Medicago truncatula: one gene and its partner. The protein of the gene in region 1 binds, or shares a complex with, the protein of each later gene. Links are inferred from orthologs where the notes say so. Each region holds a gene or a part of one and is shown in the gene's direction. Other genes may lie near its edges.

The links.
Region 2: protein PLASTID TRANSCRIPTIONALLY ACTIVE 10 (region 1) and protein PLASTID TRANSCRIPTIONALLY ACTIVE 12, chloroplastic share a complex: the UniProt entries of both Arabidopsis thaliana proteins name them as parts of the transcriptionally active chromosome (TAC) complex. The link is inferred for Medicago truncatula from reciprocal best matches to the Arabidopsis thaliana genes PDE312 and PTAC12.

Annotation. Positions count from the first base shown.
Region 1 is NC_053044.1:37,564,000-37,571,694, reverse strand, and holds the start of protein PLASTID TRANSCRIPTIONALLY ACTIVE 10, read left to right. Parts: upstream 1-4,536; 5' UTR 4,537-4,605; coding exon 4,606-5,331; intron 5,332-5,448; coding exon 5,449-5,508; intron 5,509-5,615; coding exon 5,616-5,645; intron 5,646-6,258; coding exon 6,259-6,332; intron 6,333-7,019; coding exon 7,020-7,101; intron 7,102-7,695.
Region 2 is NC_053043.1:5,999,170-6,006,615, reverse strand, and holds the start of protein PLASTID TRANSCRIPTIONALLY ACTIVE 12, chloroplastic, read left to right. Parts: upstream 1-4,089; 5' UTR 4,090-4,221; coding exon 4,222-4,275; intron 4,276-5,093; coding exon 5,094-5,792; intron 5,793-5,928; coding exon 5,929-6,041; intron 6,042-6,344; coding exon 6,345-6,604; intron 6,605-7,446. Other genes in the region: BTB/POZ domain-containing protein At5g03250, read right to left, coding at 1-116, 665-1,876, 2,689-2,758, 2,994-3,052. UniProt on the Arabidopsis thaliana protein: Involved in plastid gene expression. Acidic transcriptional coactivator necessary for the transactivation of many PIFs target genes (class B genes), particularly during the regulation of hypocotyl growth.

The DNA of each region.
Region 1 (7,695 bases):
TCACTATTTTTTTCATACATGTTTAGCACGTTAAAATATAGCTTTACACAAAATTAAATTTCTTCGACTAGGGAGAAATTAATTATGAATTTTTATTCCCTCATAATTATGAATTTCTTAAACAATTTATAATTAATTTATATCTCGTTTAAAAATTACAAAATTTCATTGTGAAGGTTCTTATCATGTTCTAGTCATGCCTACAAAATTAGGGAACTAAATTTGCTTCTGAGTACACGCTTACGCGGAACAAAATTTCAATTTTGCACGTTTCAGTTGAAAAATCAAAATAAATTTAAACGACTTCGAAATGCTATGAAACTTTACATATCCTTTTTATGTATTTTTATAGATGTCTTTGCAAATAATGAGCTCAAAATTTGATTTATAGATCGAGATTTCTGTTGTTTTGTTTTTTGAGCTTTTGACACTTTAAAAATTCATAATTAATTTGTCGTTTGTCGAAAATTTATAATTTTTTTGTTAAAGCCATATTTTAACGTTCTTAACTCGCCTCTAGGAAATCATGAAAAAATTCAATCTCTCGGTTGCTTTTTTGGACTTCACGTATATTACAGGTTATAAATAATAAAAATCTCGAATTACATGGTCAGAATACATGTTATTTAATTACAGGGTCAATTTTCAGAGTTCAAGTATATTACGTGGTCAATTTCAATTAATAACCCTATTTTAAATTGCACTTTTGTTGACAAAATGATAAACCTCTTTTTTTCGATTTTTTTTAGGAAAAAAAATAAAAAATAATTTTTTTTTGATTTATGACTGTTTATATATTATGTCACATGTGAATTTACGATTAATTTTTTTCCCGGACTCCATAAATTTCCTAGCTCCGCCACTGCTCACGCTAGTGCAAATGGCAACGTGAGTTAACTCACGTTTCACAATACACTAGTGCATGTTAACTTGCGCTAAGCATTCAACAAATAACTCACAAATAACACTAGCGCATGTTAAGTCACGCTACTTATCTTAAGTTATGTTATAATTTGTACCAGCGCATGTTAACATGCGTAGGAGCATTTTGATCATTTACTTTGGAAATGAGCGAATTCATTTGGGCAATGAGCATAAATCAATACTAAATTCAAATATGATGGATAGCAGGGGAATTTCATGAGTTATTGAGATTTACATGCTTTGTTTCTGTGTTTCAAAGATTTTGTTTTGCTCTACAAGTATGCTGGAATGTGATATAAATTTGGCTAGAAAAAAATTGCGGCTTAGGTGTGAGAATGACTACAAAAGTCAACATTACTATGCTTGGAAACCTGGTGTGGGAACCACAAACTACTTACTGTCAAGGTATAAGATTTCAGGTTCCATAGTTTGGAACTTTGTTACTAAGGCCAAGATTATTCTCAGAGATTCCGGTGGGAGCTGGTGATCTTTGATTTTGGTATAATGATTAGATAAAGTTTATCCCTCTTTGTTGCCAAGTTCCATATGTTGACATCCATGATGTTAAAGTTTACGGTCAAGGATTTGATTGAAGATAATGTGCTCACTCTGCAGTCCTTGCTCCCAATTTTTCTGACGTTGTCTTTTAACTTGGCATTTGGCTGAAAAATGTTAATGAAAACCTACACAAATGAAGCTAAATTCTAATCTTGAAAATGGTACACAAATAAAGCTAAATTCTCATTTGGTTAGCATGCCATGATGATGATGTCCCCACTTGTAGTTTTTGCTAAACATCATCATGGAATGTTAGTCTCTGTCAAATTTGCCAGAGGAAGAGGAATCATTTCCTTTGCATAGATGGTTATTCTTTGCTAGTTTGTTATTATCTGTATCATAAGGATGATATTTTTCCATTTATAATCATTTAGGAGTTAATGTTTCATTAATTGATTGCATTCCCTATTCCCCTGGCTACTTATAACCTCACGTATTTTGTATCATATTAGTGAAAGATAAATTATTTCAAAATGCAGATGGCAAATGGATACAAACCTTTGCAGTATTATTAGAAGGGCTTAAGTTCATTTTGGTCCTCTAAATATCACGATTGTATGGCTTTAGTTCCGTATTTCTTTTCAATGTGATTTTAGTGTCCAAACTCTCCCCTTTTCCAATTTGGTAGTCTCCCCATTATTCTCAAACATATACTAATCCGGCAAAATTTGTAGATGTAGCATCCAAACTTCAATGTATAAGTGTATCTTCTCATTCCTTCAACAACAAAAAAAAAAAGTGTATCTTCTCATTAAAAAAGAATCACATTATATGAAATAGCACATGAGCTACTTAATTTGGCGCCGTAGGACAAACTGATATTCCTGTTTGGAATAATACGAGGTTCAACGTTACTGATTTGGGGATGGATTGAAGTAGAAAACGTGGAACCATCATATTTTGTTTTGTTAGATTCTTTGAATGCAAATTTGACTTAGATCCATCAAGATAATAGCGATTTTTGGATCGTATACCGAGTTTTATAAAAAAAAAAAAAAAACATGTGTAGTTAGAAGGTCAAAGATGGATTTAAGTCTATTAGAAGTTAGTTCTTCTTTTGTTTTTGTTTTGGTAAACGAAGTATCCTTTGGACATCCGAATCAAACTTTTGACCAAATGATTAAGTGGTCAGATTATATGTCACTTGTGGTAGCTATTGAACTTTAGACATCGAAATTGTCATTAATCGGTACTTCCTCCGTCCCGTCATAAGTTAATCATTCGCAAAAAAATATTGTTCCAGAAAAATTGATTCATTTTACTTTTCAAAACAATAATAATTACATTTTACCAATTATAAATTTAATTAATACTACTTTTATCATTCTCAATTTAATATATTATACTTTACATTTATGGTAAGAAGGAATGTACTAATACTTATACACTTTTTCTTAATATGTGTAAAATAAACAAAAGTTTGGGTTAAAATGGGATGGAGAATAGTTACATATAGAGGATAATTCTTGAGTTGTGGCGCCTAATTATTTATTGTAAATTTATTTTTCTTCATTCATTGTCAATAAATGTTGACACGAGATGCATTAGTAGGATTGTTGGAATCTCTCTATTTCATAAAATAAATGTTGTCCATTCATATAATTTTGAAGCAAATTAAGTAGTTTTGAAATTAAAATTGTCCATTTATTTTAAGATCGAGAGGATGTCAACTCAAGATTTATTTTATTTAGTGGATCCTTAAAAAAAACCATTGCTTGTGTTTATCTATGTCATAAATGAAAAATAAAATAGAGTAAAATCAAATTTATTTAAATTGTGTTCACATGATTGGTTAATGAGCTTTATTTAAGATAAATCATTTGGAAGAACTTGAGTCTCCTTTTCCTAAAAATCGGATGCTTAACACACAAAAACTGTGCTCACCATTCAAGAGGTTTTTGAGATTTTCAAAATAGCATGACCAAAAAAATTAATTTAGCACATCACACATATTTGTATTAATTACGCTTTCCGACCCACTACGAGTGACATATTTGTAAAAAAATTATCTCAAATGAATGATCTATTTTACAATGCAATACTAATACTTGATAAGAATACTTAAAACTATTCTTACGTTTTTTGAATACCCGTTCCAATCTCAATTATAAGAAAAAGTTATTATTTTTTTTGTTAAGTAGCCTAGTGGTCGGAGCTCACACTTTTTAAAGGTGAAGAAGTAGAGAGTTTGGTGAACCTTGGCCCCTGCATAATATTGTCTTTGTAGCTACCAACTGAGTTGTGCTTACATGACAAAAAAATTAGATTCGTTCAATAACTAATGTATTAGTCTCTAATACTACCTCCGGTCCTATTTATAAGAGAAATTTAGGTCAACAAAAGTGAATGTATTTGGACTGAATTTTTAACAAGATACATCAACTTTTGTTGACCCAAAATTCTCTTATAAATAGGACCGGAGGGAGTAGTAATGTATTGGCGCTCTTTAGGGATTTCAAAAGAAAAAAATATTCACAAAAAAAATCAAATATTTCAATTTTCAATGCATCGATTAAATTTTTGAACAAAGTTACTATTTAAAGGTCTCAAAGAGCACTCTAGGGGCAATCATTAAAATTATAAATTAGTTATTAAATGAATCAAAAAAGTTAATTTTTTTATAATCGAGACGTATGTGTGAGATGATTAAATTGAAAGCTAAAGTACACTAGAGATTCTTTAAGTTATTTAATTATAACAAGTTGGGTTTTTAAGTCTTTTTTTGTACCACTTACATCTTTTAGTTATTTAATTGTAGCAAGTTAGTCTTTACGTTTTTTCACACATTTTAGATCTTTTAAATTATTTAATCGTAACTTTTAAACACCAAATAACTTACTTTTCTACAATCAAAATTTTATTAAATTGTTAAAATTAAATAATTTAAAGATCTAAATGGTACGAAAAAACTTAAATGATCAACTTATTACAAATGAATGACATAAAAGACTGGTTCATCGCTCCATTAAAAACTAAATGATGAATATCGAAAATTTAACAAATGGAGCATGTAGTTATCTCTTACATATTTATATTAGGCAAGGGCAGTTGCCTCATTAAATGTTTGAACTTTATCTATCCGCTCAATGTTAGTTTTGTGAAGCAAGGTGGTGAAGTGTAGCAATGCAAGTCTTCCCCAATTCTTATCTCTTCACTTTCCCTAAACCCTTAAACCTTAAACCCTCTCCTTTATTTCACGGCCATCCACCACCTCTACTCCACCGCAAACCACCCCTCACCACCGTTGCTAAATCCTTCACCTCCGATGAATTCCCCGTCGACGAAACCTTCCTCCAAACCTTCGGCCCTAAAACCAAAGAATCCGAAGACGAAGCACGACGACGCAACTGGATCGAACGTGGCTGGGCTCCATGGGAAGAGATTCTCACTCCTGAAGCCAAATTCGCGCGGACGAGTCTCAACGAAGGTGAAGAAGTTCCTCTCAGTTCACCGGAGTCGATTGAAGCTTTTAGAATGTTGAACCCTAGGTATAGGAAGAAGAAGATTGAGGAAATGGGAGTGACAGAAGAGGAATATTTGGCGAAGCAATTTGAGATTAAGGAAGATGTTCCGGAGGAGTTGGAGACTAAGTGGGCAGGACCGTTGGTGGTGAAGTTGGTGCCGCCGAGGGATTGGCCGCCGAGAGGGTGGGAGGTGGATCGTGAAGAGCTCGCGTTTATTCGTGAAGCGCATAAGATGGAGGCAAAGAGGGTGAGGTTGGAGGATATTGAAAATGGTGTTAGAACTGAAACTGATGATGTGTGTTTGGATAGGTATAAGGTGTTTTTGAAACAGTACAATGAATGGTTGGAAGCTAATAAGGATTTATTGGAAGAGGAATCCTATAAGGTTTCTTCAATTTCATTTCATACTTGTTTAAATTATTACAATGTGCATTCATAGTTTTTTGATTTGGTTTATGTTGATTGCTAATTGCTAATGCTAATTGTGATGTGAATGCTACAGTTAGACCAAGATTATCACCCTGGTAGGAGGAAAAGAGGCAAGGATTACAAGGATGGCATGGTAGGATATGATGAATTCACGATTCTTTTTTTATGTTTGTATGTATTTGGAATGTGAGAAAGCAAACTTGTTCTGGGGCTAACTGTTTTTTTAAATGGTTTTTGCAGTACGAGCTACCGTTCTATTATCCTGGCCAAGTAAGCTATTTCACAATTCTTAGTTCATACTCATTATGGATTATATTGTATTGTTGTTGTCTATAAAGTCGATGCTTTACTTTTTATCAGTATCGTGTTCTTAAGATTTCCTATGGTATTAGTGTGTTTTCATATTCACCTGGTTGTTTCGAATTACTGCTATTATAATTTTATACGCACGGGCAAGCATTGCATTCTATCATTTTCTGCTGCTTGGAAGAAACTGATTTCATATGGTGGGACTAGGCTAGTCTTCAATAGGCATGTACAGTGATCTTTTCAGTTATGACAACGTGCATATTACATTTTTAAATTGCTGACTGGAAATTTTGTTTAAGAAAACTATGAATAACTGAATTTACCCTTTAATGGCAGCATCACGTTGTCACAGTTTTTTTTTTCCTTTTTTCTTTCTTTTTGGTTTGATCAATCATGATGTCTCTAATTGGACAACTGTATATGTAGTCCAATAGATGATCCTATTTTTGTTTGGCTTCATTTCATTCGTATAGTTAAAATCAGTCTTTTTCTGTATCATAATTTTTAATAAATAAATATGTAGGATTGAGATTCAAGTTTTCATAAATGCTTACATGATAATTTTTCATTGCAGATTTGTGTGGGGAAGGTGACAACTTTGCATCTCTATCAAGGGGCATTTGTTGACATTGGCGGAGTATACGATGGGTACATACCAATCCCTCTGTCCATCTTTTAAGTGTTCCCTTAACTTTTTCTGTATTGGGTGTTCATTTCCTCATTGTTTTGGATGCTGGAGTAAGTAATATTGAGTTGCTTCCACAATGATATTCTTGCTAAATTAATAACTATATCTATAACTTTAGAATGTTTAATCAATATCATGTGGTGCAAAAATAAATTGGGAAAAGCATCTTCACAAGCATTTGTACCAGCACTGAAATGCTTCATTATATCCAAAGCCATGGCAGAAACAAAACAAGTACCTAGAGAAACACACCTGAGACTTGTTAAATCTCTAGACTTTGGATGCATTTTTTTGTTAGAAAAAAAAGTACTGGTTGTTTACAGACTAGAGCTACAGGGAAATCATACTGTCTCTTTTGTATCATGTGGTAGCCCAGTTTACTGAAAATTATTCAACACTGAGATTGTTTTCTCTTTCTTTGATCTTTGACTAGGAGACATTGTTTTCTCTTTATATGCTGCCATGGGTTATTGCATATTTTCTTTTGTTTGCTGCTGCTGTGTACCAGCAGTACTTCATACTGTTATCACGAGTAACTTATAGACTTTACTTCTGTACCATTGTTATCTTGTTCAGTGCCACTGTTTTAGCTTTTACTTTTATGCAAGTTTTCTTCTGGAATATTCATCTACTGTAACGTGTTCTAGGTGGGTTCCTATAAAGAACAATGATTGGTTTTGGATTCGCCATCACATAAAAGTGGGTATGACAGTCATTGTTGAAATTACGGTGAGTATTTCGGTCACTAGTTGAGAATATTCCATACTTGTCACTTAATACTTACCTTATATACTTGATAATACAGTGATGGTGCCTTTAACTGTACTGTTACCTGCCAAATTGTAGTTTTTTTACCCATCGATAGGAAACTAGTTGGTGCTGCATTTTTCTTCATGTTGTTATGTTCACGTTTTGAAATAGGAACTCTAGCTCAAATTGTATTATACAAGGTGAATTTTCTCTCTCTTGTGTGCAACAACTGGGGCAAGCTCCCACTTACCCATCAGAAGCACTGTCCTTAGTTTCTGTTGGTATCCCCACATCAGGTATCCAATTTTCCAGTTTATTGCTCACCCCATTCCAAAGGGAAGGGGGCGATATGTTTAACCTCTGGCCTCGGTGTTTGATGCCTCTTTCTTTTATTCATCCATTTTTGGTACTAAGAAAGGTCTACCCTTGTTTCAACTTTCCACTATAATTCACCATTTAACCATGTCATTGGTTGCGTGTGACTGAAATTGTTTCTTGTGTATCCTTACTTTAAGCTTTTTTGCATTTTTTTATAGGCAATTTTGGTAGGACACACAAGGCTATATTACTGAT
Region 2 (7,446 bases), on another chromosome or scaffold:
CTTAGAGGCAATCTTTCATTTTGTGCTGCATGACTGCTTCCTTCCAATGATAGCTTTTGGCAATTCATTAGTCTGCATAGTTGTTCCCGTTCCGAATCTGTCAGCCATGTATGTGCCTGAAGTTTTTCGTTACATTTTGAAATATTTAGGAACAAAAGAAAACAATAGTAAAGTTTAATTAGCACATGATTGTGATTTCATGGTACTAAATTTGTGAAAGGTTCATTCACCAAATAGACCTTGTTAGTTTATTCTGCTACCTCTTTTTCTTGTTATAACCATGTTTTGTGATTTTTACATATATTAAACAAAGTAGTAGTATATTTAATATGTCGATTTTGTGTATAGATGTTTCCAAAATATCATCTTGTATATGACATCTTCAACTCTTATTTCTCATCTCTCAACACTTAGTAGCAGTAATTAGAATTTTGAGGAAAGAAAATGTACATAGAAATTTAATCTATGATTTTTATTTAGGGACAATTTTTTTACTCATTAATTCATCAACATTGAAATCATCACAAATCTCACTATTTCCTCCACAATCTTAGTTCTTCATAAATTTTCTACTATGCCAAAACATCTTACAATCTTGAAGCATAGAAAAGGAGTGCATATGAAAAATGGAATTGGCAAAGGAAGGTATACAAGATGATCTAACCTTAAGGTATACATCTATTGCGTGGTATATACCGTCGTCAAGGGGTCTGGCATAATCAGGAATTGCAACAGCAAGTGCCTGAAATTTAGACAGGTTTAGATTAGCATCTGAAGCGACTTCGGCAAGATATCCATCTACCAAGTTAGCGACCATTGTCATCGGTGTCAACGTATCAACCCCAGCAATTAATGTTCCAATTTCAGTTATACATGGAGAAGCAGATAAAGATGCAGGCTGGTAGATAGACATAAAATGGTCCAGAATCCTCTGAATACAATCTATATCATAAAGCGTCTCGACCGAGTATCCCATATTTGGAATGAGAAGATCCACAAGTGAAGCCTGATCTAGTTGAGCTCCTACCCTTTTCTCTAAATTCTCTTTGCATGATGGACTTGCACGTAATATCATTGCGGTTCGGAGCAACCGAAGGAGATGCTTAGAGGATGTGACACCTCTCTTATTAGGAATCAACTCCACAATTTCTTCTAGTAAACCCCTTTGATCAGCTTCAGAAGTTGTAGGGATTGTTGCATGATTTGTATCTTTGAAACTTGATTGTCTATTCATCAAGGGAAGAAACCGCCTAAGGTAATATATAAGAGATGCAGCAATAGTCTCCGATTTCATTCCTTTTGATTCAATAGCCAAAATCAATCTTTTATATAATGGTAGGCTCAACAAAGACACATCATAAAACCACCAATTATCACCAACAGACTGTGGTTTACTCTCACAAGACATTCCATTCAACAACTCATGTTCCTCTTGATTTTTCGCGTCATTACGGCCTGTCACTTGCCAATTGAACAAATCTGGATCCGAACAAGCCTTCATAGCCAAGGAATCAATGCATCTAGAAAAAATATGGAGATCTTCTGCAAAGTTTTGCACTTCCTCGCATGTCTCGAGCGCTTTGATGGAGTCTGGCCAATTGCTGAAAACTTCATTTAGAAAAGATTCTGTGTAACCAATAAGATTGTCTGCACCATAGTTTTCAGTCATTTGGAGATGCTCTGCTGCACATCTTAGACTAACTACATTCAATGCTGTGATTTCTAATTTCACACCATAGCAAAATTTTGTTATGAGCTCAAATGTTTTGGCTCCACCAGGAACATCATGAAGTTGCAAAATACTACTTGATCCATCCTCACTTGTGGACTCTGCAATTAGTTTCTTTAGTAGTCCACTTCTAGAAAGTAATGGAAACTGCATCAAAATCACAAATGTTGAAAAAAACTAATCACCAACATGAATTATATACTTTAATTTAACATGCTGCATAGACCAACAAAGACAAAAATTTAATTATAAATAATAGAAATTTTGAAAAACACTCTCTAACACACATTTCACTGTATTTTTGTACTTTTGTTGCAATTTGAACGAGTCTCGATATATTAAAAATCGCGTCCACTGATTCATTGGGTCTCACACAAAATTTGATGATGTACATAATATTAATATTGAATATGGCTCATACATAGACACATAGGAGGGGCAAGGGGCGGGGGAGTTGAGCTAGCGTAGCTCCCTCCGATATGGTTCATGGGTATTGTTGTAATATGAACCGTAGTACTATATATATGGCTTGTAACACTGTAAACACTAATTCACTCAAGTAATATACGAAATTACAGTCGCAGAGGTAGGCACAATTGGCCGAACCGACAAACGACCACATTCCATTGTTTCCAATTTTAAGTTTTCTTTAATCATTTGTTACTAGTTATTAACTCTAATTCACTCAAGTAATATACAAATTTAGTCACAAAGGTAGGCACAATTGGTCGAACTACATAAACAAACGATCATGTTCAATTGTTTCCGATTTAAGTTTTCTTTAATAATTAGTTACTAATTGTTGTTCTAATAATTAACTTAAGGATAATATTGAAATAAATTAACTAATGTTACATTAAGAACAATATTTCACTTATTTTAGGGTGGTATGAGGTACTATGTGAGTGGATTTATAAGAAAAAGTGTGCAATAAGTTTTAAAGTTAAATAAAAAAGTACCTTGTGGAGGAGAAAAGAAATTTCGCCAACTTCAATAGTAACATCACTTGGAAGTCCTGTTGTACAAACCCTTAAATTAAAAAACAAGATAAGATCATGGTCAATTATCCAATAAGTAAGGGAATTTGTAGATACAATTGAGAAACCTATTCTCACTATCCAAAAAAATCAAATGAAATTTAAGGTTCTATTTTGAGATAGGGAACATTAACAAAAACAACAACAAAATTACACACATTGTTAATGTCACATATTATATATAATAATATAAGGATCAATGTTGATATAGAGAAATGAGTGCTGACCATGTTTGACCTTCACGACGAAAAGCTTCAGGCTTTGATCCCAGCTTCATGGATGCCATTACATGGATTTATTTGTAATTACAGATTAATTGTTTGAAGATTGGTTGATAAAATCAAGAGACATGAAATGAGAGGAGATAAGAGAAGGAAGAGAAAGGTGGAAGTGAATGTGACCATCCTCCTCAGATTCACAGGTGGCAAGTCTAAGGCCTAATAACTGAAACAACGATAAAAACGGTTATGTGTATTTTTTTTTTTTTTTGGTCAGGTAGCCTAGTGGCTGGAGCTCACACATTTTAAATGTGGAGGAGTGGGGTGTCCGGGGTTCGAACCCCGACCCCTGCATATAAAATGCATTTGTCCCTACCAACCGAGCAGAGCTCACGGGACACGGTTATGTGTATTTAACAATCGAACTTTTATTTTTTAATTATTATATGTGTGCGAGTAAAAAATATATATTAAATGTGTCCCGTGAGCATATGGTGGCTAGATTATTTGATTTAAAAAAAATTAGAAGTGTATTTTTTATAATTTGGAATCATTTGTGCGCAATTATTGAAACTGATTCTTTCAACTTTGTGGAAATCCAAATGGAGAAAGACTCTTCCTTAAAGTTTTAATGTTGTAGCAAGATTTTTTTTTTTTTTTTAAGGAAACAAGAGCCTTCTTTTTAAATGTTAGTTTTAACGTTTTATTTTTGTTTTAAAACAATGGAATATAAGTATTAATGATAGTTTTGTGAGAAAAAATTAATGATCGTCAAGAGTATTTTATTAAAATGCACATCATCAATTAAATAATTTTTTAATTTGTGTACAAAACTTATAAACTAAAATGAAGAGATTATTTTTGTTATAAATGTTAGTAGATAGATTAATATTTTCTTCTTCAACTAGATTTAAACCCATAAAATAATTTCTTCTCTTTCATTTAAATTTGAACTATAAATATATTCAAGCAAAATTAAAAAAAAACAATCAAACATGTGAGAATGAATTTATTCAAAATCAATTTTAGTTACCTTAGAATCAAACACACTAAAATTTATTCAAACATTTAGACATTAATTAAAACATATTAAGCATTTTAAAAAAGGAAATAGAGAAAAATGGAAAATGATAAGGGAGGTAGTGTAGCAATAGAGGTAGAACAGATGAGTTGAGCGAGCTTCTGAGTTCTTCTCCCTCTCCGGACGACGTTTGAACTTCTGCAAAACGGCACCGTTATGTCTTTAATTCAAGCCAATCTTCTACCCAACTTGTCCTTCAACCATTTTCAGGTTAGCATCTTCCAAACTTTAATTATTTACCGTCTGGGTTTCTTCAATACTCTTTCTTAAACCCACTTTACATTTCATTAATTCATACCATATATATAAAAAAATCAATTTTAGAATTGAATAAACTCAAGAATTACATATTTTATCACTTATTTTCCTTTAAAGTTATATATCTTGTTTCATTATGCTTCTGTTTGCTAGAAAGAAAAAAAAAAAGACTCGTTTTTTTAACATTTTTACTAGCTAATATCTTATTTTGTTAAGTTAATTCAATTAGCTTATAGCTTATTACTTTTTCTTTCAAAGTTTTAAATATTAATTAAACATATAGTTTTTATGTCATTTCATATTTACAAGCTACTTCAACAACTAATTTGACTAAGCACTACATATTCAATCAGTTAGCTTATCCGGTATAAGTTCATCCATTATAAGTTAGCTTATCAACTATGCGCTGTTTTTTTTTTTTTTTTTTTTTTGCCAAACAGAGCCATAATGGATGGTTGATAAGTTAGCTGATAGCGGATAAGGTAGCTGATTGAATTTATAATGTTTGGTAAAGTTGGCCGCTGAACTAGCTTGTAAATATGAAATAAAAAAGAAATGTTCAATTAATATTAAGTTTTTTTTTTTTTTCAATTAAGATTACCTCGTGAGAAAATGATAGTTACCAAACAAGTCTTTTTTAGTCATACGAGCTTATAAGCTAGCAGCTACAAGTTAGCTTATCGTGCTTGCCAAACCGACCCTATGTTGTATTACTTTATAACATGTAATATGGAGCTAATTTATAGTGTAAAATGCTTGCGACCATGTAGACATCAACGTACTTGGTGGGTGTTGGCAATTTACCATGTAGAGTTGGTTTCAGAAAATCAAGAAAGAAGTTACCTTCATATAGTTGCATAAGATGTGAAAAGAATGATGAAATAAAGAAAGATGAAGAAAATAAAGATGAAGTTATTGATTATGTGACAGTTGAACGTCCACCTTATTATAGTTACATGGACTCCACCTCTGGTCAGCTTGAGCCGGCCTCGGGTGCTAGAGCAAGTATTCCTGAAGTTGAGTATTGGCCTGAAGGAACTGTTGAGCAAGTCAGGGCTGCTAGGGCGCCTACTCCGATGGGAGAATCGTTAGGTTCTCCGTCATATGGTAGTAACCCTGGTAGTAGGAGGAAGAGTTATAGAACTTCGGTTTCTGGTTCTTCCTCTGAGGGTAACGTTGAGGGGAATGTTGAATTGGATGACCCTGGTCTTCCTGAGGTTTTGGTTGAACCTCAAGAAGATTCTGAGGAGTTCACGTCCGACTATGTTGTTTATCAGTCTGAGCCTGAGGAAGAAGAGACTGAGTACAAACTTGATAAGAAATTTGGAGCTCCTCATCCATTTATTGATCCGAAAATTAAAAAGCCGATAGAAGGAACACTTACGAGTGAGGAACTGTGGTGGAATTGGAGAAAGCCGGAGAAAGAACAATGGTCCAGATGGCAAAGGAGGAGACCTGACACTGAAACGGTTAGTGTGCATTAAATTGTCTTGGAAAAGTTTTTTGATGCTGTAATTACAATGTGTGTGCTTGTGTCTGTGTATGCATTTACCGGTTTTGTGCAGTCTTACACCTTGTGTCTGAATTTCTCTATAATATTTTCAGGTTTTCCTGAAAGCCATGGCAGAAACTGGGCAAGTAAAGCTTTATGGTGAAGAACCAACATTAACAGAAACTGCTCTTTACCGAGCCAGGCGCCATCTTTATAAGGAAGAAAGGTATTGCGGACTTTTATGCTCACAACATAGTTCTGATTAGAATAGAAATGAAACTGGCGTTTTCTGTAGTGAATCTTAATGCAGAACATATAAGAAATAAGAAGTACTGCAAACAAGAAACTCAATAGAAAGGTTGAACAGTAGTTTCTTGAAGAATGAGTAAATTACTTGATGTGATTAACATCATGGATTAAGGAGAGTAACCTGATAAAGTTTACCACAATATGTCATGGGAATTTGTTATAAGGAGAGTTACCTGAAAAAATTTACTAGGAAAATGTTGAAAATTTCCAATTTTTGCAGGCTTGAGGCTGAGCAAGAGAAACTGGAAAGGATTGGTCCAATTGCGTACTATTCCGAATGGGTAAAGGCATGGAAGAGAGACACATCTCATGAAGCTATTCAGAAGCATTTCGAAGAGACTGGTGAAGATGAAACTACTCAACTAATTGAAATGTTTTCCAACCAAACTGACCGAGAGTATCGTGTAATGATGGGGACTGATGTTCGCATCCGAAGGGATCCTTTAGCAATGAGAATGAGGGAGGATCAGATAAAGCAAAGTATTGACTTTGAAATTAATATTTGTTTGTCATGTCTTTGTTTTTATTTTATTTGAGTCGTCTTGTTATCTATCCTTTTATCTTCCTTTTTATGATTCTATGATCATTCAACTGTATTTAGTATTGTTTGCCAAACAACCTCTAGATCCTACGCATAGAAGTTTAAGCAATTAGAGAAGGGCATGAGAATAAGTTGTCCATCTAAGACATACTCCTATACACATGAAAGTCTACTAGGTATGAATTGTGAGATCCCTATTGCTTAGTTGATAATCAACTTGATAGGGACTTGGATATTATGGGGTGCCCAGTGGAGTATTTAAGTGGTTTGGTTCTAAGTATTTAAGGGCGGATTTTCTAAGTATTTAGATACTTATCAATTGTAATTAGAACTGGTTGTCGGTGGCTCGGAAAGGACTACCTGCGGAGGGGCTGATTGGAATTGGCTGAGTAAAGCGTCGTAGAATGCCAGTCGCCGAGACATCGGCTCTCAATGGCAGTGCTATGTTAGGTACTTGAAAATTATAGGGTGCCCAAGTCCCCCATCTAACATGTTCAGTGGAGTAATTAAGTTGCCTGGTTCTTCCCCCTTGATAGTTAGTTTTTAAGTTTGGGTTCTCCATGTGCTTAGATACTTATCACAACTCTGCTCTGTCAATAGTTATGGTTTTTTTCCTTCTAGTAAATAACATTACTGTGCGTTTATAAGTATTACTGTGCTCTTATTATCAGGACTCAATTTGTCCGTATATAAAAAAAGGAATGGAAAAATATATGAAGACACATAACTTAAAGAATAATATTAACTTCCATATGCCTTTTTTTTTTTTTTCAGAGAAAAA